Macaca mulatta: one gene and its partners. The protein of the gene in region 2 purifies or fractionates together with the protein of the main gene of each other region. This does not show direct contact. Links are inferred from orthologs where the notes say so. Each region holds a gene or a part of one and is shown on either strand. Other genes may lie near its edges. The genes, in order: ORC2, FXR1, CEP63, G3BP1 and TDRD3.

Region 1 (6,403 bases), on a different chromosome or scaffold from region 2:
ATATTAAAAAACAGCCAGGTGCAGTGGCTTACTCCTGTAATACCAAAACTTTGGGAAGCCCAGGAGGGTGGATCACTTGAGCTCTGGAGTTGGAGACCAACCAGGGCAATATGGTGAAACCCCCTCTCTACAAAAAATACAAAAGTTAGCCGGACATGGTGGCGTGCGCCTGTAGTCACAGCTACTCAGGAAGCTGAGGTGGGAGGTGTGGTTGAGAATAGATAGTCCAGGCTGCAGTGAACTGTGATATAGCCACTGCACTCCAGCCTGGGCAGGCAGAGGGAGACCGCATCTCAAAAAAAAAAAAAAAATTATATATATATAAAAGACACATAAGTAGAACATATCTATTCAACATTCCTAGATCTTCATCTTTTTTTTCAAATTTTTCTTTTTTGAGAAATGGGGTCTCAATGTGTTGCCCAGGCTGGAGTGCAGTGGCTAGTCACAGGTAAGATCACTGCTCGCTGCATCCTGGAATTCTGGGATGCAAACAATCTTCCTTTTCTCAGCCTCACAAGTAGCTGGGATTACAGGTGTGTATGCTGGGCTAGATAGTCATCTTCACATTTCTAAACACTCTTCAAGCACATCGTTGTTAACTGTTAAGCTATGTTCTCTTTATCTTCTGTCTCTAGTCACTCCCCAAATTCTTTTTATTTACAATGCACAAAAAATTGCCTTTCTCTTCTGTTTTCTTAACTCCACCTAGCCAAAATAGAATAATGAGGTATCAAGGCTACGATCATTTCTTTCTCAACTGGATTTCCTAAACAGCTTCCAAATCTCGTGACTCTGTATCTTCCCTCCCAATCCTACCTCCTTTATCCAAAGATCTTTCAATACAAATCTGACCAGTGCCCTAACGGCCAACTAAGCCCTTCATAATAACAGACCCAACGCTTGGCATTTTACACAGCTGTTACACGGATTTGGACCTTCTACCTGGAAAATGTCACCCCTCTTGACCTGTTTTAAATCTATTCAACACTCAGGTTTCAGTTTAAACATCCCTTCCTCCAAGAAAATTGTTCCTGACTCCTTCTGGACTTTTAATTAGATACTCCTACCATGTGCTCCAATGCACTTCCCATATAATAGCATTTTTCTCAATATTTTCCGTTCAATATCTTCAAGTGCTAGGTAACTATAGTGAATGCAGAGATTGTAGGTGTCTCGCTATATACTGAATCCTTATCTTCTGATTCGCAGAGTACTCTGTAGTTTTGTTTTGTTTTGAGTCAGTGAATCCAAATGAAATAGTACCCTGTTCTTAATACTGTATGGATCCCATCCAGGTTCATTCCTTTTCTTCCTCATTTTCTCTGTCTTGTCTTTTTTATATTTTGGATAGTTGAAGTCAATCATTTACTCTGTCTATTCATTCTATTTCCCCAGCCTCTTCATCCCACTAGCCGTCCGATCCCATCTCCATAATTCAGTGCTTCTCCTAACGTCTCTTTTCCCTACTCCAAACCCTGGAGATGTACAAGATCCTACCTTTCACGCCAAATGAAGAAAATATTTAAAAAAGAAACACGAATCAATTTCCATTACCTTTTTCTTCAAAAGGTACCTGGCGAAACCAACGAACACTTTTTTTTTTTTTGAGACGGAGTTTCGCTCTTGTTGCCCAGGCTGGAGTGCAATGGCGCGATCTCGGCTCACTGCAACCTCTGCCTCCCGGGTTCAAGCGATTCTCCTGCCTCAGCCTCCCGAGTAGCTGGGATTACAGGCGCCCGCCACCTCGCCCGGCTAATTTTGTATTTTCACTAGAGACGGGGTTTCTCCATGTCAGTCGGACTGGTCTCGAGCTCCTGACTTCAGGTGATTCGCCCGCCTCGACCTCCCAAAGTGCTGGGATTAGAGGCGTGAGCCACTGCGCCCGACCCCAAGTACACAGCCACCACTCAGCCAGCTATTCCGCAAACTTCCTCGCATCCACACAACACTTCCTTCTCCCTTCCCCGGAAACGGAAAGAGGAAAGGAAAGATAAGGCCCACAACTCAGGGCCTAAGGATCCGTTTTCCTCAGGTTTCCTGATGGGCGGGGCCGAGTGGCCGGCGCCGACTGGCCGGCACAGCCGTCGCTCTTGGCCGACTCCTCTTCCTATTGGCTTCCCCGGGCACCGCCCCCTGAACAGGGCGGGAGATTCGGTGTGCCGCACGCAGGTTTCCCATCCCCCAGCTGGCCTGCAGGGCTCCTTACCTCCGCCGTCGTCGGGCGTGAATTACTAGAAATTGGCTTCTCCCGTTGGTGCCGAAGGTGCTTTCCCTGCGGCGGCGATTCAGCGGGGTGTCGTTCGGCCGGCGTGAGGCGGCCGGATCGGCGCCAGGCGGAAACCTAGCGGTGAGTAGTGGGGTGTCGGAGCAGCCTGCCTCCCTTTTCTGCTTAGCTCGCGGCTTGTGGGGCGCATCCAGGTGCACACAGCCCCGCGTCGGAGCTTGGCCCCCAGCGTCCCACGTCGCGCATCTCAGGGCTTTCCCTCGGCACTCGGGGCATGGTCTCTGCGCCTCTCTGCCCCCCGCAGGCTGCCCGGGGGCTCGAGAACCCTTTGCTGGTGGAGCGCAGCCAACTGGCCAGAGGTTGGAGGCGCAAGCCAAAGTCCTTTAATACTTGAGGTGAGAGGCTCGCTCTGGGAGGACCTTTCGTTAGTCTGCCCAGCAGTTAAAAGCCTTTTGTGAAAGGGACGCCTAATATTAACATACCTGATTCCCAGCTTACGAAGCCCTCTGGTTGGAAAAGAACTGTGAAGATCTGTAACGAAAGTGGTAAAGTGCCCTGTGAGGTATGAAGAGGAAGAGATCGCATCCCAGAACCACTGTAGCTAGAACCTTTGATGTCATCCCAGCCTGGAGGCACCCATGTGTCCTGCTAACTGATCGGTCACCTTGGAGCCACGCTTGGCTGTAAAATGTTGATAAGCCAGGCCCTTTTGGTAGAGCTTTTTAATCAAAAAGATGTTGAGACGTTACTTTTCATTTTACAATTGAAATCCTAATAGAATCGTTACACTTTCCCCCAGTTAAATTGTAATCTGAAGAAAAATAGCACGGTCCTACACCGTTGTATAAGGGCACTGCACGTTAAACGGTCATCATCACTTATTGAGCAGTTTTTCTGTTAGATGTTGAATGAGTTAGAGATGTACAAGAAATCTGCATGGTGAAGTTGAAGTTTAAAGTAAAAATATCTCAGTGTGTACTGCAGTAAGGAGCTAAAAAAGAAAAAGGTTAAAGAAAAAATTACCGATAATTGGGAGCATTCAGTGATGCTCTTTTATACATCAGGCACATGATTTCATTTAATCGTCAGGACTTTGGACAAAGTCACACAGTTATAAAGTATGGAGTGGAGATTGGAACTCACGTTTCTCTGATATTAAAATTGGTGCTTAACCACTAATCTCTCCAACCTTTTTCAAAGGATTATGTTTTTAAAAATTACAGCAAATCTTTCATTTGCTTTCAAAGGAGAGTGTGTTGCTAACACTTGGTGCTGCTGAATTGCTTTGAAGTTAACTCCTTGAAAGGGGTTGACAGGTAAGCACCAAGGCAGTGCCTTGAAGGGTCATAATGGTCACTAAATATTGCATTTTATTGTGTGATTGTTAGGTTTTTTGTTTGTTTGTTTGTGTGTTTGTTTTTCAGGAACTGTTGGAAAGGAAAGAAGGAAACGTTTCTCATGAGGTCTTTGTAGACATTTTCTTTAATTTGGTGATTTTGTACTATTTAGTAAGATGCTCCAAAATTAGAAAAGGAAATGTTTGTATAAATGCATTTGGCTACAAACAAGACTGAGGATGCCTCTGTCCAGGCAATTCTTATATAGAATACCATAGGGAAATTGCCTAGGACAATACTCAGTTGCCTAGAATATTTGTTTTTAAATTTTCCTAGAAAATCTCGTCCCCCCCATCCCCAAGAACAACTAAACTTTGGCCAATAAGAATTATGTAACAGACCTTTACTTGCTTTTTCCTTTGATTACCAGGAAGCTCAGAGCCAAAAATTCGTTTTGTGATTTTATTTTCTGCTTTCCTTTATATTTTTTCTGGTGTAGACTCCCTATTAGCATTTATAATTTATAATTTGTTTTATCACATTTGATCCGTGTCATTGCTTCAAATCCTTTGTAGTACATGGCAGCATATAATTAAGTAAAATAATGTAGATTATGCTGACTCTGGCCATGCTCTTTGAAGTATGCTTGATAGAACTAGTAATGTTTCACCCAATGAACTGGAAAGTTAGAGAAACTATAGAATTCTTTGGACATTCTATAGTTACGGGCTATAGAATACCCTAACCCTAACTGACATGTAGAGAAATAACTAGACCTATTATGAATGGTTTTCAGAGGTCAAAACAAGCATTTAGCATTCAGCACAGTAGTTCACACCTGCAGTCCCAGCACTTGGGGAGGCTGAGGTGGGCAGATCGCTTGAGCTCAGGCCACCCTGGGCAACATGGGGAAACCCCGTCTCTACAAAAAAATACAAAAATTAGCGAGGCTTGGCATTGCACACCTGTAGTCCCACCTACTCAGGAGGCTGAGGTGAGGTGTTGCAGTGAGCTGAGATCACACCACTGCACTCCAGCCTGGGTGACAGAGATGAATGACCCTGTTTCAAAAAACAAACAAAAAAACCCCCACAAAAACAACCCAGAACAACAAAAAAAACCAAGCATTTAGGATAACATTTTTATTTGATGGCAGGAGAGGTATGTGGTGTAATAGAGTGGTCAGGAAGTTAGTAATCTGCCAGGTACAGTGGCTTACACCTGTAATCCCAACACTTTGGGAGGCCAAGGCGGGCCGATCATGAGGTCAAGAGATCGAGACCATCCTGGCCAACATGGTGAAACCCCATCTCTACTAAAAGTGCAAAAATTAGCTGGGTGTGGTGGTGTACACCTGTAGTCCCAGCTACTCGGGAGGCTGAGGCAGGAGAATCTCTTGAACCCAGGAGGCGGAGGTTGCAGTGAGCTGAGATTGAGCCTCTGCACTCCAGCCTGGGACACAGCAAGACTCTGTCTTAAAAAAAAAAAAAAGAAGGAAAAAAAAAGAAGAAGTTAGGATGAGTCAGACCTGGATTTCAACCCTAATAGACTTTATAATTGTGTGTATTGGCATTAATAATTTAATGAGTTATTAATATTTAATGAGTTAGCCTCAGTCTACTCATTTGTAAATTGGGGACATTATACATATAAAGAGAGAGATGCAAAATACCTATGTGAGAGAATCTGAGGATTTAATGAGCTGGTGTACATAAATGTGCCTAATACAGTGCCTCACAAACAGTGCCCTCAAAAAACCTGTTTCTTTATTTTATACAAATATGTAAATGGATTAAACTTTTTCTCTAATATACCCAGATTCCCCATAATAGGAAGCAGTATCATGACTAGAAAGAAGGCCCAAGAGGACATGTTTTACAAGCAGTGGTCATAAGTTATAGATGAAGTATTTATTATCTTTATTTTTTATTTTTATTTCTAAAATTTTTCCTTCATATCATAGCTAAGTCCATAATTTTTTATTTTTTGTTTAAACAAATTTTTTTGACCTGGTGTGGTGGCTCACTCCTATCATCCCAGCACTTTGGGAGGTAGAGGTAGGTAGATCGCTTGAGCCCAGGGGTTTGAGACAAGCCTAGGCAACATGGTGAAACCTCATTTCTACAAAAAACACAGAAGTTAGCCGGGGGTGTGGTGGCACAAGCCGGTAGGCCCAGCTATATGGGAGGCTGAGGTGGACAGATCACCTGAGCCCAGGTCGGAGTTGTGGTGAGCCAAGAGCGTACCACTGCTCTAGGTGGCAGAGCCCAGACCCTGTCTCAAAAAAAAAGAAAAAAAAATTAGAGACAGGGTCTTACTCTGTCGTCCAAGCTCGAGTGCAGCAATGTGATCGTAGCTCAATGTAATCTCGAACTCTGGGGCTCAAGGAATCCTCCCACTTCAGCCTCCAAGTAGACTATAGGCACATGCCACCACTCCCAGCTAATTGTTTTTTTTTTTTGTTTTTTTTGTTTTTTTTGTTTTGATAGAGGCAGGGCCTTACTATGTTACCAGGCTTGTCTTCAGCTCCTGGCCTCAAGGGATCCCCCTGCCTCAGCCTCCCAAAGCACTGAGATTATAGGCATGAGCCACTGCACCCAGCCCAGTATTTATTATCTTTGTACACAAAGTATGAACCTCATAGAGTTGTGCAGATTAAATGAGAATACATATGGAGTACTCAAAACTATGTCTAGCACATTGTAAGTACTCAAATTTTGTCCTCCTATCTTCCCACTCCATCCAGATGTTCTCAGTATCTAGGACTTCCTGGCCAAATTGGTAATGGTCTTTTTGTCCTTTACTATACCATTACAACAGCTTTAGCTTTGTAAGGTCT
Region 2 (6,378 bases):
AATGGAATGTTCTGAAGGAACACTGTGGTGGTGGTTACACAACTCTGTAAATACACTGTCATTCAACTGTACACTTAAAAAAAGGTTAGTTTTATAGAATATACATTCTACCTCAATAAAACTTTATTTTTCAAGACACCTTAAATGCCCGGTAGTATAAAACCTAAGATGCTACTCTAGGTATGAGAAGTACAAAAGCTATAATGTTATTTTATATAACAGCATAGCCCACCATCAAATGCTTAATTAACATCTTCCCATTCCCTCTCATCCCCACAGATTTTTAGGGCTGCGAACATGCACAAATCAAGTTTCTAATCTCTTTAACTATAGAGCCACTGTTAAATGCAGAACAATGTATTTAGTATGCCATCATTTGTGTACATACTATTTTTTAAAGGCTACCCTAATTTTAGGTAAAATATTCAGATCTTCAGCGTTTCATTGGTTCCAATTAATTTGTGAAATGAAGTTTCAGTTCTATTAGAAAAACTTTAATCAAAGTCTACAGAGCACTGCCTCAAGGTATAACTGACTTTGAAACTAATCAATGGCAATTCATGCTTATAGCCAAATGTGTGTCTTCTGCCTATATGGGGTTAAGAGAAGGGGAAAAGAGGGAAATTCAAATCACCTGTACATTGAAAAACACCGTAAAAAAACAAATACACAAAATGTTAACAGCTCTCATCTCAAGGCAACTTCTAGTTTTTGCTGAGTTCCAAAATTCCCTCAGTGACCATGCATTATCTTCTAAATTGGAAAAAAACTAATTAAAATTAAATTGCTTCTATGCTAAATGGAAGCCGGACTCAAAACACTACACAATATATTGTATAATTCTACATACGTAGTGTTCTGAATAAGAAAAACTATGGGGACAGAAAACACTCTAGAAGCTGGGGTTGAAGAATGGTTGACTGAAAAGGGCATGATGGAAATTTGGGGGCTATGAATCTTGATAAATGCTGACACCACCACAGTTAAGGTGACAGTTAATCTTGATAACTGTCAGCATTTATCAAGATTCATAACCGTACACCAAAAAAGGTTTATTTTATTGTATGTAAATTAACCTCAACTTTTACATTCTAATGATTAAAAAGCAATAAATTTCTGTGCAATAAACCAATGTTTTTCAAGTCAGCAGTTTAATAGGATGAAAAAATACTGGGGATCACGGAACTACTTCATGCCCCTCATGTTAGACAGAGAGATTTGTTCAGGGGTCCATTGTTAGATTATGGTAAGGTGAAGTACAGACCTAGAATTCTCATCTGTTTACTTCAAATCCAGGACTCTTTTCCACTTCTCCATTCTCTTTCTTCCAGAGTTCTGAAGACCAGAGTTTCCACAAAGTGCATGTGCAAGTGGATTATGGCTGGACATAAAATTCCAAGTGTTCAAGCGTACATGGTTTCAGTGCACACACATGTGGCTAGTGTCCTTTCCAACCTTTGCCAAAGTACCAACTCACTTTGTGAGGCAAAATGAGTAATGGAGTCAAAGTCTAAGTAGAAACAAGCAGTAGACTGTAGAGTATGTATAGAGATCAATAATAAATACTTCAGAGTTCCAAAATGGGGACATTTGATTCATTGTGAATTGACTGGAAAAAAAAAATACCGTGAGAAACCAAAGACTGCAAACAATCTTTACTAAAACAAATTATCTTCACCTTATTAAAAAAAGGAAAAAAATCTTGTATAGCACGCTACTGACAAATATACTTTGCTAAAGATAGTTGTCTACCACATGCATGATGCAGAACCATGAATTAAAGCAAAATAATCACTTTATTTTTTCCAATGTGCAAGAAAACATGCATACCTCCCTTACACCAGAACTATATAGCCAAATAGTGAGAATCTAAAACTTTTAGGGAAAGGGGTGGGGGGTGATGCAAAATGACTTATCTACACTTGACAGGAAAAACATGGATAAGTCTTGTCTTTGCGCCGTCTTACCCAGAGAACTGTATCTTCAGTCGTCCAGGGAAAGCAACCACCAGGTTTCAGTAACAACAAAAGTCAATTAAATATGTACTCAAATTTCACCTAGGTCATTGGTCTGACATCAAGTCTTAAACCAAGAACGTTAATGTAACTACTCACGCATTAACATAACGTCTCATTTCCAACAGGCACTGTTCCTACTTTAAGTTTACCACCTAAGGAGATTTAAACTTGCAAAAAGCTTAGGGGGATCCTTTATACGCTGTGATTCCCCATTATGCTAGTACCACGTGACAGTTAAACCAAATCCACAGAGCTAATCAGTAAACTAAGAAAGGAAAAACAAAACCCTGAAAATAGAAAATCATGGCCAAATAAAATAAAAACCCAAGGGATAAAAGGTACCCTGAAATGAAAACCTGTGAGAATTCATTTTGCATACGCACAATACTCATGTATTAGAAGGCGGCCCTTCATAAAAATAGCCAAGACTCTCAAACATTTGAGATGCTGGCTTAGTGAGATTGACTGACAGACAACAGCTGGGGAGGTTCTGTATTGATCTTGTAACGGCCTGGCATATTTCGGGAAAATAAGGAGAAAAGAATGCTATAGCAGCAAAAAATAAACATTAGGATTTCATTTTCAGATATGTGAACGCTGAACGCCCCACCAAATTCCTCTACTCTATTCCTCTTACGTTTTTCAGCCCCGATTCCATAGTAATGCATGCCCTTCCTCCCCAAGCAAACAAACAAAAAAACCTCGTGGGGGAAAAACAAAACAAAACAATACCTCCCTCCAAAAACAGGGGCAGTGATATAAAGAAATTAGTCACCTCTCCACCTATCTCCCTGATCCATTTCGCATTTTAAATCTTACTTTAAAGCACACAACTCTCCTTTTATTCCGTAATAGAGGGGCTAAGGCGCCGCCCAATTTCCCAGGCCGCAAAAATATTCCAACCCGCCACAATTCAAGGTTTTCTGCTTTTCTGTCTTCGATCCTAACCCTCAATCCGGTACCCTCATTCTCCTCAGGCACTAAAGATTTGTTGGCCCAAAACTCAAATACAAGGGTGAATTCCAAAGATTCCGCGATACACCCGCCCCAGGGGGTGGGGAGGGGTCGGAGGAGCGGGTTGAGGAGCTCCCGCCCGGCCCAGTTCGAGGGGCGGGGGAGCGGGTGTGACCACACAATCCCACCGCCTCCTTTCACGACTCCCCCACCTCCCAGAGCTCCGGCCTGCTCCGAGGGAGCTCACGCCGCCCAGCAGCCACTGAGCTGCTTCCCACCGGCCCGCCAAGAACCGTACTAGCAACCAAGAAGGCTCATAACTAGGAAAATGCAAAAGGCGTCCGACGTGTTGTTTCAAAACATAACGGAGCCCCGGCCCCCGAGACCGTTAAACCGCGGGTGGAGGGGGGAGAAGCAAGGAATCTAGCGGCCTCGAGCTTTGGCCTGGCCTCCTTTCCAATCCAAACCTCACTTTCTGGGACCACCAACCCTCCCTCAAACGCGCTCCAGCCCCCAGAATACTAGACAAAGTGGCAAAACCGTCAGTACCTTGTAGAAAGCCCCGTTGGAGCCGCGAACCTCCACCGTCAGCTCCGCCATGTTGGAACCGCAAAGGCCGCTGGGAAGAGATTCTAGAAACTTTCCAACCAGAGGGGAGGAGGGGGGAGGGGCGAGAAGGAGGCGGGGAAAGGGGAGGGGAAAACAGGGCGGGGATTTGGATCCCCCGCCCCTCACCCCTGGGGTCTCAACGTGCCGCCCCGACTCTCCAGGTGGGATCGCTGCGCACCCTGCATCACTGGCCTTGAGCTCCGCCCGCCGCCGTCTACGTCGGATTTGCTTCCCGACACAATCGCCCGACCTTTGTTGACCCGCCCCTAGGTCCCCGCCCCACAGTGCCCGCTGTTCGCACCGCGGCGGCCGAGTAGTGCCTCCAGCTGCCACTGCCCAGGCACAGCCTGTCGGGCACATCGGCATTCCCCAGCCCTCCGGCATCCTGACCTTAAATTTCTGGAAGTGCTGGCTGCCCTGGAATGGCTTTATCATACACTTTTTGGGCTCCAGTTGCCCTGGGGAAGAGGGACGCCTACAAAATAGACATACTATTGTGCCCCAAGTTTTTTAGCCCCGCTCTTTCTTTAAAAAAAAGTTGGGCCTTCTCTTGACTCAAATTCCACAGTTCCACATCCACTCAAACAATTTGGTCTAGCCCTCTCCCCACCTGTTACCACTTTAGCTATTTAAAAGTCAAACTGAGTATTTTCAGTGCAAGTCAACTGTGTTCCCACCCTAGAATAGAGTTTAGGTGAATTCGCCTTATTAAAAGTAGTCAGACAAACAATAGAGCAGGAGACCACGTTTTCCTCTGCTAAATGTATGCAGAGTTCCACAAATAGGATCAAAGCAGAACCATCTCCAGTTTTGTAAGCATAACAAATACTTTGGGTATGGATTTTAACAACTTAATACTGAAGCTTCTTCCCTAAGCAAGGGCTTTGGAAATAATACTATAAGTGTTTCTCGTTATACTTACATTATTACCATTTTCGCAAAAAAAGTTAGGAAAGGATACTTTGCTAACATTCTGTAATTCCCATGAAATGCCCACTGACCCAGTTTTTCAGATTCTAAAAAAAAAAATGTACATAAATTTTATGAGCACGTCTGCATCTCTGAAGATTCTGGGGGAAAATGAGGGCTGTGAAAGTGCTCGCTGTTGTCATGTACAGGATATTCTCTTTATTTATTTAGAGACAGGTTCTCGCTCTGTTACCAAGATGCAATGCAGTGGTGTGATAAACGTTGCAGCCTGGACTTCCCAGGCTCAGGTGATTCTCCCACGTGGGCCTCCCAAGTGGCTGGGACTACAATATTTATTGATTTGATTTGATTTGATTTATTATGTTTTTTTAGACAGAGTCTCGCTCTATCGCCCAGGCTGGAGTGCAGTGGTGTGATCTCGGCTCATTGCAACCTCTGCCTCCTGGGTTCAAGTGATTCTCCTGCCTCAACCTCCTAAATAGTTGGGATTACAGGCGCACACCACCACGCCCAGCTAATTTTTGTGTGTTTTTAGTAGAAACGGGGTTTCACCATGCTGGCCAGGCTGGTCTCAAACTCCTGACCTCGTGATCTACCCGCCTCTGGATTACAGGCATGAGCTGCCGTGCCCAACCTATTTATTCACTCCCAGCCTTTTTTTTTTTTTTTCCTTTTTTTTTAAGACGAGATCTCTATCACCGAGGCCGAAGTGCAGTGACACAATCATAGCTCACTGTAACCCTGAACTCTTGGCCATCCCACAGTGGGCTGGGATGTTCTTTTTAAAGTGTTGATCACAATGAGAAAAATGTAAACAAACTAAATGCCCATCAATGAGTAATAGCCACGATTTATTAAGGGCGTCTTATGCTAACACTTTATATCGTATCTCATGATCCTTCAGAATTATAATGTCCTATTTACTTTTTTAAAACATTTTCTTTAGATATAATTCTCCCATTTATAGTGTACAATTCAGTAGTTTTTAGTATATTCACAGATTTGTGCAACCATCACCACAGTCAATTTTAGAACATTTTCATCACTGCAAAAATAACCCCATACCTGTTAGCAATCGCTCTAGATGTAACCCCAACTCCCCAGGCCCTAGGAAATCACTAACCTGTTTTCTACCTGTATAGATTTGCCTAGTCTAGATATTTAATATAAATGAAATTGCAGAATATGTGGTGTTTTATGACTGGCTTTTTTTTTTTTTTTTTTTTGAGACAGAGTCTTGCTCTGTTGCCCAAGCTGGAGTGCAGTGGCTTGATCTCCGCTCACCACAACCTCCACCTCCTGAACTGAAGCGATCCTCCCACCTCAGCCCCCAAGTAGGTGGGAGTACAGACATGACCTAATCTTTGCATTTTTTATAGAGACGTGGTTTTACCATGTTGCCCAGGCTAGTCTCCAACTCCGAAGCTCAAACCATCCACTGCCTCCACGTCAGCCTCCCAGAGTGCTAGGATTACAAACGTAAGCCACTGCACCTGGCCTATATGTAATTGGCTTCTTTCATTTAGTATAATGTTTTATAGTTTCATCCATGTTGTAGAATGTATTACGACTCATTCTTTTTTGTCAAATATACTGTTGTATGGATATGCCACATCATTTTATTTATTAATTAATCAATTGATAGACATTTGCATTGTTTCTACTTTTTAGCTGTTTGGAATAATGCTGCTATGAAAATTTCTGTATATGTTTTGGTATAGACAGATGTATGTTTTGTTTCTCTTGGGTATATAGCTAGAAATGGAATTGCTGACTCGTGATAACTCCATGTTTAAACCTTTTGAGGAATTGCCAGATTTTTCCAAAGTGGCTGCATTATTTGCATTCCCACCAGCAGTGTATGAGG
Region 3 (5,706 bases), about 55 Mb from region 2:
TGGAGTGGAGAGTCATATTTTGCTCACTTCCAGCATTTTGCCTTCATTTCCTTGAGAAAATTTCTGCAAAAGGATCTAAGTTGATCTTAACTCTCTGTTTATAATGTTAATATTTACAAAGTAATTTTTTTTAAGGCATGGATAGTAGAAAAACTTAAGTTTCTATTTATGTACCTCATGTAAACCCAATTCGAATTTCATCACCATTTCAGAAAGATGACGATTTTCTAATTTGAGTGACTCCAGCTGATCCAAAATCTCCTGAAAAGGGGAAAGCAGAAAAAAATAAATATAACATGTAAATCAAATGCATCTTACAAAATTTTCCACATGGAATTTTCATTAGGCTAAGTCATATTCTTCATTTATATATAAACATATATAAATATACATATATATATGGACTTTCTAAAAAGATTTATAAGGTGTTATTAAGCTGAATGAACATGAATGGGATGAAGATATCATTCTAATAGGATAAATCAGGTGATAAAGCAGCAAAGTTTCAATTCACTGGTAAATCCCTTAAATCCCTACCCATTCTCCTGTGTTGGACTCCTCCAACTTGGCTTCTACCTGCAACGTCACATGGAATTGTACTTTATTCACAAAATAATAACTTATTTTCAGTTCTCATTCCCCTTAGCTTTTGTGCTTAACCATTCCCATTTGAAAATATTCCTTCTGGCCGGGCGCGGTGGCTCACCCAGCACTTTGGGAGGCCGAGATGGGCGGATCACAAGGTCAGGAGATCGAGACCATCCTGGCTAACACGGTGAAACCCCGTCTCTACTAAAAATACAAAAAAAAAAATTAGCCGGGAGTGGTGGCAGGCGCCTGTAGTACCAGCTACTCGGGAGGCTGAGGCAGGAGAATGGCGTGAACCCAGGAGGCGGAGCTCGCAGTGAGCCGAGATCGCGCCACTGCACTCCAGCCTGGGCAACAGAGTGAGACTCCGTCTCAAAAAAAAAAAAAAAAAGAAAATATTCCTTCTTTCCTTGGCTTGGCAAAAACTATCTGATTTTCCTCCTCACTGCTCCCTTTTTTTAAGCTTCATTCCAACATCTTTTACACGCTAAATGAGAAGTATCCTAAGTTTGGTTTCAGTCACTTCTCTTTTTATGCTATGCTTTCTCACTATAATCATTAAGTCTCTCAGGGGGTTTCAAATGTCACCATGAAGAAAGGACAGCCACAGCTAAATACCTAATCCTGATTTTAATCTTTAACTCCAGGCCTTCTGTGGAAATGACTATTATCCACACAAAATTCCAGCCTTTATTCCAAACAAATGTGTTAAACCAAAGTCCTCTCCACCAGTTTCCCCAGTCTGTGTACTTTTCACACAAATTCATTATCCTTCGCCAAACTAGATCCCTGTCTTTTCTCTATTTAATTAAAGAGCATCACTTTCCATCAGTTGCCTAAGCTTAAATCCTGTGGAACACCATTTCTTAACTCTGCCTACCTCACCCTCCCTGCCAATCAAATACAATGCCCAGTCATTTTTACCAGCCCAGTATCTCCAGAATTCATCCATTTATCTCTCCCTCCCTTACCCACTGCTCAGGCCACCATCTTACCACTGTAACAGCATCTGGGTGCTCTGTCTCCCTGTTTATTCTCCATTTAAAGACCACTGAATTTTACTCCTGCTTGTGGCCACTGCCTACTGACCTCAAGGTCACAGTATAACTCCTTTATGTGGCTAACAGAGCCTTTCAGCAGCCAGTCTCTGCTTTCCAGTCTCATACCTTCCACTCATCCCACGTGTACTCTAGTTTCAACCACAGCAAGCGTGTTTCAACCACAGCAAGCGTGTTCTACTATCTCTTAGAGACCTCTGTATTTTCCTGTGCCTGAAATACTTTTCCTTCCCCTCACCCAGCTCGCTCCTAACTTAGCTTTGCTATCACACCTTCTGGAAGGCCTTTGCAGCGAGTGGTCTAGATTCAGGCTGCTTGTGATCTCTAGTGACTCTCATCATACACCACTGATATAGTCACTTTACTTGTCTGTGTCTACTCTCACCTCTGCACCACCCTCACTAAACTCTCTGTTAACCAGCATACCCTCAGCTCAAAGCAGGTATCTAATAAAAATTCACTGAATTAAATATTATGAAAATTATGTCTTTAATCAATTCCATCTTTAAAACAAATTTCAAATTTAAAAAAGTTTTTGTTCAGGCTTCACCTTATGCTCTACTGCTTTTTCTTCTGCCTTTTGAATCTCTGCTTTGAGTCGCTTTTCCATGTCTGAGGAAGAACCTTTGGTGGAAGCAATAGAGATATCTCGCTGATGTAACTCCTGAGTTAGATGGGAGATTTCCATCTTCATTCCTTCTAGTGCAGAACTGTAACTTTGTTCACCCTGTAAAATCTGTTCTTTCAACTATAAAGAAAGCAGAAAAGAAAGCACCAAAAGAGAAAGCATTTAGATAGAATAATATGTTACCAGCTAATAAAATAAAAGCTTACCTTATCTCAAGACATTAAATTTCTCCTGAATTAAATCTGCAGAAAAATTAGCAATTTACCAAGTTGCATATCTGTACTGAAGGTCAGGTGGTTATACCTACAATCATTTATTATACCTCAAAACAGGGAGAGATGGGTTATTCAAGTGCTGAGGACCACAATCAAGGTCCATGCACACTATTTAGAGGACAGTACTTGTGACCTTCATTCTTTTTTTTAGTTGTGAATCTAAAAGTTTTGCTCATATGGTATCTTGGTCCACAGGATAACAAACAGAAAGAACAAGAGGAAGAAACAAGCGAGAAGTAATCTTCAAGAAGTAACAAAAAATACAAAACAACAAATAGGACAGTTAGGACCCACTCATATAGACACAAACAGCTCTGCATACCTCAATAGCTGACAAGGATACCAACCACATCACAGCACAGGAGACAATCCATAAATACTATGTTTAGGCAATAAGAAAATATTAAATGACAGTTCATATTTTTTTGCAAACACTAAGTGTATGTCTTTTAGAAAACTTTTCATTAAAACATGTTTAAAATAAAGTTTTTAAGTTCAAAGGGAACAGCCTTCAATTATCTTAAAAATATTTATTGGGCATCGGGGGGATGCCAGAGAAAGAAGGCACTTTCCCTATGCACATTCCACGTACTCTTCCACTCCTAAATATCAAGTGGCCCCTTGAACTACATTTTTCTCTCATTAAAAATAACCCCTATAATCTCCAAACCCACAGCTCAGTCCATAAACACATACAATTTTGCAATCCTAGGTATGCATATTTTTACCTTCTTAATCTCTGCTCTGTATTCATTGTTATGTGCTTCCATCCTCTTTAATTCTTCGTATTTTTCCATTAGTTCTTGACTCAGCTGTTTACATGTTGCACTCACAGATTCCAAACTGTATGACAAAAATAAGATCCCATATTTAAAACAAAACCAAAATCCCGAAACCTATAAATTGGACTATATAATTTACATTCTTGATGTCCAAAAAATATTCAGCCAATATCTTAAACATCACATCACTCATTTAAATATTACTAAAAAGCCAATCAATAAAAAAACTGTGATAAAAATGTAAATTGTTGTCCCAATGTCAAAAATAATAAACTTAATTTTAGTCAAATGGAAGAGTACACATATACTTCAATGATAACAAAGATTATCTCAAGTACTCCAAGTATTCCAAAAGGAATAAAGCAGAAAATATGTGTGTGTATGTATGTTTGTGCATTTAACATGTAGATAAAAGAAAATACTTACTGGTTTCCAAAACCAGAAATAAATGTAAAAACAAAAAATGTATTACTTAAAGATAACTTAAAAAGTGTAAAATGATATTTCTCTTGTTGTTTGCCTAAAGGTTAACAGTTCATGTTAAAAGTAATTTTATCTTTTACATACAGAAAATGCCAGTGTACAAATGATAATGAGTCATGTGTTTAAAACAAAATATCACACTCTTCCCAATCCAAAAGTTGAGAGGTATGAAAAACCAAAAAAAAAATTATAAGTACGACAATGACAAGAGTTTAGGTAGGTATGGTATAGCATTAGTCAGGATTCAATTAACACCCAAGGAAGTAACACCACCACAGCAGAACAAAAAGGAGGATCACCGTGTGTCAACTGTTACCCCTTCCTACCCTGCTTCCAAGGTGGCAGGGAGGACAACCTAAGTGAAGGGCTGCTAAACAGGTGAAAGGTAAAGAAGTAGAGTCAGTATAGACAATTCTTTTGAAGAATTTGGTCTTAAAGAGAAGTACAGAAATGTGGAAGTAACTTGACGGAGATATAGGATTAAGGGATGGTTTTTCCCCCAGATGGGTGACGTTATAGCATATTTTATACCAGTGGATATAATTCAGCGGAGAGAAAGAACTTGATGATGTAGAAAAGAAAGGATATAACTACAGAAAAAGGACACAAGTGGAGTAGTTGGTCTTAGAAGTGCAGAAAGGCACAGGTGTGGGAAGACTGGTAGTTTTGATGACAGAAAGATTAAGAAGTTCTCCTTTAATTGCTGCTGTCTTCTCAATGAAATAAGAACTTAGGGCAGGGCGTGGTGGCTCACACCTGTAATCTCAGCACTTTGGGACGCTGAGGCGGGTAGATCACCTGAGGTCAGGAGTTCAAGACCAGCCTGGCCAACATGGTGAAACCCTGTCTCTACAAAAATACAAAAATTAGCCAGGCGTGGTGGCGCACGCCTGTAATCTCAGCTACTTGGAAGGCTGGGGAGGAAGAATCGCTTGAACCGGGAGGCAGAGGTTGCAGTGAGCCGAGATCGTGCCATTGCACTCCAGCCTGGGTGAAAGAGTGGGACTCCATCTCAAAAAAAAAAAAAAGAAAAGGAAAAAAAAAAGAAACAAGAACTCAGGCAGTTTGTGGATGCTAGAAAAAAATCTTATTTTTTTCACTATGACTACTATATTCATTTACTTTATCAATATGATGATCAAAAATTCATTTTAACAACTTGAAATTTTTGAAATGTGTGTATAATTATGTACCTGCCTTCAAGACGAGTCACCTCTGCCTGCAGAAGTTCCTCACTAGTATGGGTAAAATTCAACTGCGAGAGCACACTGTCTAAGTCCCCCTGCCCTTGAGAGGTGTACTTCTTTTCTGCCAGAGATTCTTCCCGTAGCCTATGGAAAGACATATGATGACTGTTAAGGCCTTTATCTCTGCAAACACAAACAATGCACATCTAGTTTGTGTTTCCCAACCATTTTTGATAAACTCTTTGGAACTCTTCAGTTTGTCTCCTGCTTTATAAAAAGAATATTGGGAGAGGAAAGACAGTCAAGAGATGCTAAAAGTTATAAAAGCAGCAATTTACTCCCTTCTTAACTGGGATTTGGCCTATTTTTCAAGGGAAAAAGACAAAATGACAAAATCACTTCAGTGACACTTGAAACCTTGTACCAAAAAAACTGAAAAGTTACAGGAGAATTCTGGCAAAAATAAAAATGTACACCAGACTTACATCAAGCAAGAGGGTTAGCCCAATGGCTGGCTGCTATTATTGATAAGCAGCTACTAATCACCACCTACTCCACCAAGAAAGTGAGGCCTCCAGGAGACGTGAATGACAATTCCCTGCATGTTTGGATTTTCCCAAAGCATGCAAACTGACCTTGGCTTCTAACTTTCTAAACATGAGAGTCTCTGTTAGGGACCCAAACTGGTGGCAGAAGAAAATTAAC
Region 4 (5,004 bases), on a different chromosome or scaffold from region 2:
AGCCCCCTTCCCACTCCAAATCCTGGTTTCTGCACCATGCCTCCACGGGGAGGGCCTCTCATTCCACCACCCAGCCCACCTCGAGGGCCTCCAGGTCCCCGAAGGCGATTATCTCGTCGGTCGCCTTCCCTGGCAGCTCGAGTCTTCTTCTCTTCGACATTCAGACGGACCTCACCTCTGAACATGATAGGCTGTAAGAATCAAGGTGACCAGACTTAAGAGTAGTGATGAGCTATCACTATCAAAGAAAGCTATAATAATGAACCAGCAGAGGCTGGGCAATGGCTCATGCCTGTAATCCCAGCACTTTGGGAGGCTGAGGCAAGTGGATCACGAGGTCAGGAGTTCAAGACCAGCCTGACCAACATGGTGAAATACCATCTCTACTAAAAAAATACAAAAATTAGCCAGGCATGATGGCACACGCCTGTAGTCCCAGCTACTCAGGAGGCTGAGGCAGGAGAATCACTTGAATCTGGGAGGCAGAGGTTGCAGTGAGCCAAGATCGCACCATTGCACTCCAGTCTGGGAAACAGAGCAAGACACCGTCTCAGAAAAAAAAAAGAACCAGCAGATTATAAATCAGCTAAATTCTCACAGTTCAGTTTTTTGTTTGTTTGTTTTTTTAATGCGACAGAGTTTCACTCGTCACCCAGACTGGAGTGTAATGGCACGATCTTGGCTCACCGCAACTTCTGCCTCCCAGGTTCAAGCGATTTTCCCTGCCCCAGCCTCCAGAGTAGCTGGGATTAGAGGCGCCCACCACCACACCTGGCTAATTTTTGTATTTTTAGTAGAGACAGGGCTTTGCCATGTTGGCTAGGCTGGTCTCAAACTCCTGACCTCAAGTGATCCGCCCGCCTCAGCCTCCCAAAGTGCTGGGATTACAACAGTTCAGTTTTTAACTGAGAACATACAATTTACCATTAACAAATACCTGGAAAGGTGATTAGGTAGGCAGGCCAGTTTTAAAAAGCCATTTTAAATAGCACAGCAGCACAAGTTAACTCTCATCGTACTTATTTTTTCTCATATAATTATGTAAATTGAATAAAGAATTGCCACCTTCTCCATAGATTTGGAGGCTTAGAATAAAACCTCATCACCGCCAATGCGAAAAGATGGTACTGTACATATTTATGCAAAGTACGTATATATTTAAAATAAAAACTTCATTAATCTGACATAAACTTTAACTTGTTCTTCACCTCCTGAGAAGTTTGGATAGTCTTGGGCTTCATTTGCTAACAGAGCCAAAGTTACCAAACATTTCAATATATTCAATTATGCTCTTCACCAGCAATATAATTTTCTAATTTCTTAAAATAAGCATCTAACAGTACTTACTATGTGTCAGGGAAGTGTTCTATTCAAATTTATTAACTCACTTAACCTTTACAACAACCCTCTGAAGGTAGATACTTACTTTAAGGACTAGCAAACTAAGGACTGGGGAGGTTAAGTAACTTGTCCCATGGGTCACAACACTAATGAGTGATGAAAGGAGAATGTAAATCAAGGCCTCCAAACTGGGAAAAATAAGCTTTGAACCACTAATGTACACTACAGTATGTCATACACCAGGGCAGTCAGTCTTACATAAGCTACTTCTGCTCACACAAAAAATTACTGAAGGAAGCATAGTAGACTTCTATCAATATCATGAAATGAAGGGTGGCCACTAGGCCTAACAATGTGCTGAATGATGGATTTATCTACAAAGCCTACTGGACATTTCTGAGTTCTTCAGTGGCTTTGGTGAGATGAACCACTGTTCTCTCATTTCTCAAACAGTATTTTGCAGGAGATGCTTCACAAAAATATGTGGTAAAATAATTTGAAAGATAATGTATATGTGCATACTCAGGTTGACATAATGTTAGGACCACAACACTAAACTATGCAGTATGGCCAGGTGCACTGGCTCACACCTATAATCCCAGCACTTTTAGGGAGGCCAAGGTCAGTGGATCACCTGAGGTCAGGAGTTCGAGACCAGCCTGGCCAACATGGGGAAACCCCGTGTCTACTAAAAATACAAAAAAATCAGCTGGGCATGGTGAGGGGCACCTGTAATCCCAGCTACTCAGGAGGCTGAGGCAGGAGAACTGCTTGAACCTGGGAGGTGGAGGTTGCAGTGAGCCGAGATCACACCATTGTACCCCAACCTGGGCAGCAGAGCGAGACTCTGTCTCAAACAAACAAAAAAACCCTTGCAGTATGCCCATTAGCATTCTAGAGAATATCACTGATCTGCAATATTTCTATTACATGGTTTAAAGTACACAATTTTAATCCACAGGGACAGAAAGCGGATTAGTGGCTGCAAGGGGTTGGGGAGACAGGTACAAGGAATGACTGCTTAGTGAGTAAAGAGCTTATGGCTTTTAGTAAAAAACTTTTGGAATTAAAGGTAATGGTTGCACAATATGTGTTCTAAATGCAATTAAGTTGTACATTTTTAAATGGTTAATAGTGTTATGTAAATTTCACCTCAATAAAAAAGTATAGCTTAGTAAATTAATATTATTTATACCCTTGTTCTTCTCCACTACTACAAAAAGCAGTTTTTTGCTAGGGGAGGGGAAGCTTTCTCTGGGGCTACCACAGTAAGATTTCCATTCTACAAATTCTTCTATTATTAGAATTTACAGGGTAAGAGTACTGTTAGTAAGGGTGGTTCCAAGTAGTCTGACTATATAATTTATCTTCCAAACCCAATTTATTGACTTATAGGAGAAGTTCTTAATAGTTAGTCTCTACAAAACAGCAGTACCCCAAAACAGCCCTGGGCAAACTGGCTCTTATCTAATAGTTAAAAGTAGGTTTGTATTTCACCTCCTGTACACCAAAAGCCAATACCAAGGAAAGGTAGTTACGTAAATCTCAGTGCACTGATAACTATTCATTTTCTCATTCTCACAATTCATGTTTTCAAAAACTAAGTTATTTAAACATAAGTTTCATTTTTCTAAACCCCCAGGCAGGTCTTTTAACAATAGTTGAAAATAATGGAATAAATTACCTGAATATGTTGGAATAAACTGCACTTTACATAAAGACCCAGCTGTAAAGATAAATATATTCTAAAGAACCAAAACCTTTAAAAAAAAAAAAAAAAAAAATCAAGATGAAAAGCTGCTTACCCTGTTGCTAAGGACCTTCTGAACAGGCTCAGAATCATCAAACACAACAAAACCAAAATTGGGTAATTTCCCACCACTGTTAATGCGCAACTCCACCACGTTCCCATAATCTGCAAGTGAAACAGATTCTCAGATAACTACTTAGACCATTCCCTTTAAACATTCCATGTACACAGTCCAATACAGTAGCCACTGGATGCATGTGACTACTGAGCACTTGAAATATAAATACAGCTGGTCTGAATTGAGATGTGCCTCTCATAAGTGTAAAATTATGGGAGGCACATTTGGATTTCAAAGATTTATTATGAAAAAGTGTAAAATATCTCTCACAATATTCTTACATGTTGAAATGACAATGCCTTAAGAGTTAAATGTTATTAAAATTATCCAGTTTCTTTTTACCTTTTTTTTTCTTTTTACCATGACTACTAAAAAATTTATAATTACGTATGTGGCTCATTTTCTATTTCTACTGTACAGTGCTAGAGAGACACTAGATGAATTTAGTGTTCAAAACTCAATAACCTACTTTGAAAGAAATCTTTAAGCTCTGATTTGTCCACTTCATGAGGCAGGTTGCCAATGAAGAGTTGGTGACTGTCAGGGTGTCTCACCATTCTTCGGGGTTCAATGTCACCTTGCTCACCAGCCTCACGGACTTAAAAGGAGACAAAAACATCAATTAAAGGTAAGAGAAAGAAGACATCTTTCAGTGACTGCTCACATTCAATAGTTTTCCCTCTACCGTAAAAACAGGCAATTCCATCAACCCTACAATATTTTTATTTTAAAGTATATAAATATCAACTGCCCTCCCAAAATAAGCTCTCACCTCAAAATCCCCCAAACGAGAAATCGCCCTTCTGAGCTCTTACTTGGTCTGGGTCCCCTTTGGGGAGGAATATTTATTCGCTGTTCTCGCACTCTTTGATCCCTTTGAGGTCTCTGTGGTGGAATCTGAGATTCAGGCTTAGACTCTGGACGGGGCTGAAAAATTTTAAGTTAACTTTTGTGTTAAAACAAAGCAGGCTTATCCTTTTTCTTAATGAAGTTTCTTAGCTAACAAGTTTTAAACTAGAAAATGGACAATTCCCTAACAAGAAAAATCATTAAAAACCACCTTATACCCTTCTCTTCTGTCTTATATATCAGTTTTGTTTCTACATTGATTTGGGTTGTTTTTTTTTTTTTTTTTTTTGAGCCAGAGTCTCACTGTGTTGCCCATGATGCAGTCCAGTGGCACAATCATGACTCACTGCAGCCTCAACCTCCTGAACTCAAGCAATCCTCCCACCTCAGCTTCCTAATTAACTAGGACTACAAATGCATGCCACAAGGCCCGGCTAATTTCTTATTTTTTGTAGAGACAGGGTCTCACTATGTTGCCTGAATTGGTTTCAAACTGGTAGGCTCCAGTGATCAGCTGGCTTCAGCCTCCTAAAGTGCTGGGATTGCAGGCATGAGCCACACTGCACCTGACCAGTTTTCACACTCTCTAAACCTCTGTTGAATCAAATTACCAAAATATAAGTACACTTGCCTAATGTACAAGTTTTATTAAGACCTTACCTGTGAAGCTGGTACTTTAACAACATGAGGTGGTATCCCAGTAACTGGAACAGCTCCACTGGGTGGAAGGTTCTTACTGGTCACAGATGCCCAAGAAAACGTCTAAGGGAGCAATACCAACATTACATAATTATACCATGTATCAAAACAATATAAAAGCTACTAACTCTTGATTTCCTGTACAAAACAAATGGTAACACATTCTCACAGGCAGGATGGAGTTTATACATATATTAAGATTCTTCTCTTCCAGCTATTCAAAATTTAGTATTGAAATTCCTTGGGA
Region 5 (6,381 bases), on a different chromosome or scaffold from region 2:
AGGCCCTTTATCTTTCCTCGACTAGGAAAGTAAATTTACACACCACAAAATGCTTCAACCCAATTTTCAATTTTAAAATGTGTCACTTTTGATCAATAATTTAAATTAGATGTGGTCACTTCTGTTAATTTTTGGTGGAAATGAGTACTGAATCTTTACTCTAGACATCTGGGCTCTATTCTTGGTTCTGCCATTTATAACTGAGCAAATTATTGAAAACTCTGTGCTTCAGTTTTCTCATATGTACAAAGAGAGAGTTAAAGCTATGCAACACTGATTCCACGGAAGATACTCTTTTTTTTTTTTTTTTTTTTTTGAGACAGAGTCTTGCTCTGTTGCCCAGGCTGGAGTGCAACGGTGCAATCTCGACTCACTGCAACTTCCGCCTCCTGGGTTCAAGCGATTCTCATGCCTCAGCCTCACCAAGTAGCTGGGATTACAGGAGACTGCCACCACGCCTGGCTAATTTTTTTGTATTTTTAGTAGAAATGGGGTTTCACCATTTTTGCCAGGCAGGTCTCCAACTCCTGCCCACCCGCCTTAGCCTCCCAAAGTGCTGGGATTACAGGCATGAGCCACCACCATGCCCAGCCAGAAGATACCTTTTCAAAAACAAAAACACAACTGATTAGGTACCCCGTGACATGTTTCTGTTAAAAACAAACAAACAAAGGATGAAGATGGAAGAGAAAAATTCAAAATGTCCAGAGATCAACCTTTTAAATCTTTCTCCCACAAGTAGAATTTTGTATTTCCACTCAGAGTGATCAGGGATATCATCCCAAAGGAGAATGAATCTCTGAAGAGAGAAAACAAAAATGCAGAGTGAGTAATACTGTTATCTAGATAAATTCAGAGTCAGATTTCTTTTCCCCATGAAGTTATTCCACTCATATAATTAAGCTTTACAAGGTACCATTTAGTGCATTATTTAAACATAATCACTATACTGTAGAAAACCCTGAAACATTTAAGTTCAAATCAGCAAATCGTTTGTGTGCTACTGGCCATTGAAGAAAAAAAATTATTTTAAGTCTGCCAGGTAGCTACTTTTGAAGCTATATTTTAAAATATTGATTTTTACAGCGGTTCTAATGAAGATTAAAACCTTAAGAAGGAAAAAAATTGCACTTAAAAATAATGGAAACTTGAACAGATTGGTCTACATAGATCTTCTGTACCCCCCTGAAGATCATATTTTCAGAATTGTAAACTTTTCAGCACTAAATATTTCCCTAATCTGCTATTTTAGGTAAAGCCTGTAGAACAGATTTAACAATAGTGTTTCCATGTTTTAGCATCTGTTTCTTTTTAGCTTCTACAAGTAACTACGCACATACATTTGAATACGAAGAAAAATGGTTTGTCAGTGACAGTAACAGAGAACCCCAAGTATAAGAGCAAACTCAGGATGTAAGAACTAAAATGAGCTAGTGAAAGCCCTTCAGTCAGAAATTTTCCTTCCAGTGCTCTTTTCTGCCTTTAAACCTTTGTGATTCTAAATTTTAACATAGTAAGTCCCTAATTAAAGACTTCGTCGAAGCCACCTGAAAGCCTAGGAGATCCTCATGCCTAGTCTGTTCAAGACCTAGCAGGAATTACATGAAACTCACAATTCCTAGAAAGATAGTCTTATTAGCCCCACAGATTACTACTGCCTTTATGAGTTACTGCCACACAGAAGCAGCACAGACAGGTGGGAGAAACATAAACAGATAAGTTGCAATACAAAGTAGCAAATGCTACAATATAACATTGCTGAAGATTTACAACAATATCACAAAGCAGGGTGGGACTCTGCCTAAGCTTCTGCAGAGGCCCTGTCCGGAGAATTCTGACTGGCAGGGGCATTCCAAGGTCAACTGTATTAGACTTTACAAAGAACCTACAATCTGGTGCACTTCTTGACAATCCAGATAAGGAGAAAAATAAGACTCAGTTCCCTGCCCTGGAAGAGCATAAGAGGCCACAGAAAACAAAGTCAGCATGTGTTCGGGACCTAAAAAATGAGACTAATCTTTCCAGAGGAGGCGGGGTCATGTTGGAAAGTAGTAAAATACTGACTTTGTAAATGAAAATATTACTAGTGTGAAGGATCAACGCTCAATCTAATGATAAATGGGGAGAAAGGCAAATGAAAGAGCGACCCAAGATAATTCAGGACACCCCTGTGGGTAAAAAAAACTAAAAGAAGAGATTCCTATTTAACAAAAACAAAACTGAAGCCAGTGAGTTTTTAACTCTACAATCTTTTACGCCAATGCTGTTCTGTGAAAAAACTATAGGAACAATAACGCATAAGAGTTAAAGGAACCAGGACCAGAGCCAGGCCCTCTGTGCTCAACATTCAACTCCACCACTTTCTAGCTATGTCACTTCGGGAAAGTTACTTAACAGCTCTTTGCCTCAGTCTCCTCACCTGTAAAATGGGGTGTTTAACAACACAAGGGCCTTTAAAACCAGGAAGGGCTTCTTCAAAACACAGTTGTGATTATATCCCTCCACTGATCAAAAACTTTATTCACAAAATCAAATCCACATCTTTCACGAACCATACAGATCTTGTGTAGGTTCTGCAAAACAATAAGCGCTTCCCAGTCTCTAGCAGCTCTGTGCTAGAAAGCCTTTTCCTTACCATCTTCCCAAGTCCACTTCAGGAAATTAACTCTCCCTCCCATTCCACAGTGCACTCATCTGTTACTCTGTACATACGGTTTACCACTATTCCCCCTGGTTTTGTTTGGTCTTTTAATGCCTCACTCTTTCTTCCAAAGCAGTAATTGCAGAGAGCCAAGGCAAATCTTTTTCATCCCCGTTCCTACCCTTCATCCCAGAATGTGCCTGTGCAAGTCTGGGAAAAGCGTTACTGAATTAAACCGGATGATTACAACCGTAATGGCCGCAATTCCAGAAACTGCCTAACTTCACATAATTCTGTATTGTTTTCAAATCCTGAAAATCTTGACACGAAAGGCCTCTTAAATTCAGAACACCATCCTTTCAAGAAAAGTTCTACCGAGCACCCCCCACGAGTTGACAATGCGGTCATTCTTAGCTCCAGAAGTTGTGTGTGTGACGCGGAGGGCAGCTTCACACTGGTCCACACTATACTTTGAAATAAGGGGCAAGAAGAGGCGGCTCCGACCGCAGCGCAGGCTGTGTGCCGCTCTGCCCTCAACTTCCTATGGGCCCGCGGGCTCCGCCGCGTTGGTCCCTCTGCTCCGCACTTCGTTCCCAGCCTTCGCCTCCCCTTGTCCCGCCGCAGAAACACCCCCTCCCCGGAGCGGCAGCGCGAAGGCGCTGCAGGTCCTCTCCGGCGCTCCACTCGGCCGGGGTCTGGGCCGCCACCCGCCCGGCTCGCGGCCCCCGGCCTCTCCCCAGGCCCGCCGCCCGCCGCCCGAGGCCCAGGCCGCTGCCGCCGCCGCCTCGAGGGGACACAGGGGGACTCGCTGGGCTCGCGTGGCGCCGGGGGCGGAGCCGGCCCGGAGGGCCCGGGGAGAGGCCGGGGGCGGACAGCAGCCTCCGCCTACCCCGACACGTACCCCGCCGCCCCCAACCCAAGCTCCTCGGGGCCCCGGCCCGCGCCAGCGGCCCGGCAGCCGGCGGGACTCGCCACTTACCAACCCGCCTGGGACAACGCCGCGTTGGCCACCTGGGCCATGGTAGCTGCTTAAGCCGGGGGTGGTGGGGGGTTGGGGTGGGGGTGGTGGGGAGGCCTCCTACTTGAGACCCCCCCCCCAAAAAAAAAAAAGAAAGAAAAGAAAAAACTCCTCTGGTCGGCTCTGCAACTGGGCATGCTCAGTGCGGCCGGCGCTTCCGCGTGCGGGTTCCGCTCGCCGCGTTTTCTGAGCGGCCGTAGGGGCCGGCCTGGTGTGGGGCTTCCAGGCTGCCGAGCTCCAGGACCTGATCCACCAAACACGGGCCGGCGGCTAGGGTCAGGATAGCTCAGGGACTTTGCCTCTTCCCCGAAGGTTTTTACTTGTTTTGGGGGGCACTCTTCTGAGTTGCACACCTTGGAAAGTCGTGAGGAGGTTCTTCGTAGAGCAAAAGTGTGGCGTTTGCAGCGCCGACAGGCGGCCACCTCAGAGAGGGCAGGATAAGGCCTGAGGAGACTGACGGGTTGGCTGCGAGGGAGCGCGTCCAGGATGGCGCTAAAAAGGTCACGTTGCGGGAAGCCAAACTCGGAGGTGTCCCCAGCCCATTCTACACGAAAGTTTACTTTTTTATAAAGACTCGTTCCCTTCCCCTCGCCTTTTGGTCCGCCGGGACGCAAAGAAAAAATGCAGCTCAGCCTTGAGTCCCCACGGGCAGATCGAGTTGCCCAAGTCGGACACCACAGTGAAAATGACTGGTCAGCCCAAGAAAACCTGCTCTTAGGGAATATGGGGAAATGGGGCGGTTGTGTCAGTGCTTGTTTTTCCTGTTGCCCTCCCCCTGGGACTATCCGTGTCCCAGCGCGGCCCTGAGACCTTAGCTCTGTACTGCCGCGTCCGGCAACCACAGCCGCCTCCCCGCCGGTGCCCTTCGCCAGCGCTCCAGAGGGCTGGGGCGCGGGGTGGGTCCCTGAGTGGGCATGCGCGGCGCCGTCGCCGAGCGGCACGGCGGACGCTGCCGTGCGATTGGGCGTCCGTGACTCACGCTGGCCAATCAGAGAGGAACAGGAGGAAGGGTACAGGCGCTCCCTGAAAGATTGCTCCACCCTCTTGGTCTTTCACTTCTGCGGCGTCCAGTAGGGCTGGCAAAGAGACTTTTGAGGGGTACTGTCCCCAGCTGCCAGGTCGGGAGAAGACTGTTACGAACTTAACCCCAGCTCCGCCGCTTGCCGCTGCTGCTTCTAAGGGCATCATCAAAAAGAGACTTGGAGCAGAGACTGCGGAACTGGGCAGAGGCGCTCTTGGGATTGGGGAGGAAATTGACAGTTACGGAAGGAAGGGGATAATTGCCCAGGGTGGAGCTAAAATTCCTTAATACAGATTTTTCTCATTTCAGCTGGGATATTCCGTTTGGTCTTCCCAAAAGTCATAGATATAAAATCGCGATGCTTTCCTTAGATGGAATGTATTGAGATTTGCTCCCAGGCATATCGTTTAGATAATTTTAAATCAGAAGTAGCTCCATGCTGTTCGCTACAATGTGCCGTAGTATGTAGTGTTTAGGTGATAAGTATACTACAGGTATATTTCAATTTATAGTCATCGGCCATCATATCCAGGAACCAGGAATAGATATGCCTTTTTAAATGTAAGTAGATGACTCAAAAATAAATTGCCAATAATTTTTATTGGTGGTTAGAATTTTCTCTTACCAATTATTTACATTTTGCAGTTAGTGTAACCTGTTAACTATGAAAATGATAAGTTGTCCCAATCATCAGAATTGCTCACTGGTTATAAAGCCATTTGTTCTCACATGCCATGTGATTCAGTAAGGATTTACCACTGCATGGTCCTTACAATAATAAAATACTCCACAAAATACTAAATTCCCTTCAAGAATGGGATTTTTACTGGAGAAATGTGGGACAAATGAGCATCCAAAAAATGGTGACAATAATTGATGAAACACATTGAATTTCTTCGGAGTGCCACGAAAAATAAAAGGGAAGGAGGACAAAACCTTTTCTTTCAGCGGAATACAAGATAGTAAATGCAGAACAAATGATAGAATTAGAAAAATCACAATTTTCCAAGTCAACCACAATTGTTTCAGGAAAATTTATCAGAAGATACTAAAAGTCACAGGGTAAAAGACTAGGAGTACAGGATCTTCACATGGTCTCAAAGTATCAAGCCATAACTTATTACAGAAGGGAAAATGTACCTTATCTTGAAAAAAAAAAAAACCCTGCCTTAAGAGATCAAAGCTAGAATCACTAATAATGGGACACTCTAATGTAATCTGCCTACTGATGTAATGCAATTAGACATACACATCACTTAAGAAGTATTCTTGCCAAAATTGTTTAACCTGAATTTAACCAAGCTTCTGGACAGTGGATCCTAAACTAACCCCCACATCCCCAAATCCATTTAGCAATGTCTGGGTTGTCACAATCTGAGGAGGTAGGAGTATTGTTATGCATCTCATGGGATGCAGCAGGAATACTGCTAAATATCCTACAAAGCACAGGACATCCCTGAACTCCAAAGAATGATCTGACCCAGAATGTCAGTAATGCTAAGGTCTAGATGTAAGAAGAAATGTAAAGGACGTATAGGTGATATTTGAGCAAGTTAAACATGAAGACGCAGGCACATAAATCCACAATGAGGCATATTCTCCTCTGGCCTAGACTGTTAAAATGTAATTTAAGGTTTTTTTTTTTTTTTTTTAATTGAGAGGGGTGTTTCGCTCTGTCGCCGAGACTGGGTTTCACCGTGT

The links.
Region 1: the proteins of FXR1 (region 2) and ORC2 purify together in Homo sapiens (affinity purification with mass spectrometry; 4 studies listed by BioGRID and IntAct, with this or other methods). This does not show direct contact. The link is inferred for Macaca mulatta from reciprocal best matches to the Homo sapiens genes FXR1 and ORC2.
Region 3: the proteins of FXR1 (region 2) and CEP63 purify together in Homo sapiens (co-immunoprecipitation; 3 studies listed by BioGRID and IntAct, with this or other methods). This does not show direct contact. The link is inferred for Macaca mulatta from reciprocal best matches to the Homo sapiens genes FXR1 and CEP63.
Region 4: the proteins of FXR1 (region 2) and G3BP1 purify together in Homo sapiens (affinity purification with mass spectrometry; 3 studies listed by BioGRID and IntAct, with this or other methods). This does not show direct contact. The link is inferred for Macaca mulatta from reciprocal best matches to the Homo sapiens genes FXR1 and G3BP1.
Region 5: the proteins of FXR1 (region 2) and TDRD3 purify together in Homo sapiens (affinity purification with mass spectrometry; 3 studies listed by BioGRID and IntAct, with this or other methods). This does not show direct contact. The link is inferred for Macaca mulatta from reciprocal best matches to the Homo sapiens genes FXR1 and TDRD3.

Annotation. Positions count from the first base shown.
Region 1 is NC_133417.1:106,071,684-106,078,086, reverse strand, and holds the start of ORC2 (origin recognition complex subunit 2), read left to right. Parts: upstream 1-2,179; 5' UTR 2,180-2,350; intron 2,351-3,474; 5' UTR 3,475-3,543; intron 3,544-4,691; exon of another isoform or gene 4,692-5,034; intron 5,035-6,403. UniProt on the Homo sapiens protein: Component of the origin recognition complex (ORC) that binds origins of replication. DNA-binding is ATP-dependent. The specific DNA sequences that define origins of replication have not been identified yet.
Region 2 is NC_133407.1:92,987,071-92,993,448, reverse strand, and holds the start of FXR1 (RNA-binding protein FXR1), read right to left. Parts: upstream 3,588-6,378; 5' UTR 3,573-3,587; coding exon 3,522-3,572; intron 1-3,521. UniProt on the Homo sapiens protein: mRNA-binding protein that acts as a regulator of mRNAs translation and/or stability, and which is required for various processes, such as neurogenesis, muscle development and spermatogenesis.
Region 3 is NC_133407.1:37,591,325-37,597,030, reverse strand, and holds part of CEP63 (centrosomal protein of 63 kDa), read right to left. Parts: intron 5,146-5,706; coding exon 5,008-5,145; intron 3,393-5,007; coding exon 3,278-3,392; intron 2,395-3,277; coding exon 2,197-2,394; intron 262-2,196; coding exon 175-261; intron 1-174. UniProt on the Homo sapiens protein: Required for normal spindle assembly.
Region 4 is NC_133411.1:160,740,762-160,745,765, reverse strand, and holds part of G3BP1 (ras GTPase-activating protein-binding protein 1), read right to left. Parts: intron 4,821-5,004; coding exon 4,719-4,820; intron 4,137-4,718; coding exon 4,025-4,136; intron 3,808-4,024; coding exon 3,679-3,807; intron 3,257-3,678; coding exon 3,147-3,256; intron 192-3,146; coding exon 1-191. UniProt on the Homo sapiens protein: Protein involved in various processes, such as stress granule formation and innate immunity. Plays an essential role in stress granule formation.
Region 5 is NC_133422.1:39,862,314-39,868,694, reverse strand, and holds the start of TDRD3 (tudor domain-containing protein 3), read right to left. Parts: upstream 3,801-6,381; 5' UTR 3,662-3,800; coding exon of another isoform or gene 3,621-3,661; intron 1-3,620. UniProt on the Homo sapiens protein: Scaffolding protein that specifically recognizes and binds dimethylarginine-containing proteins. Plays a role in the regulation of translation of target mRNAs by binding Arg/Gly-rich motifs (GAR) in dimethylarginine-containing proteins.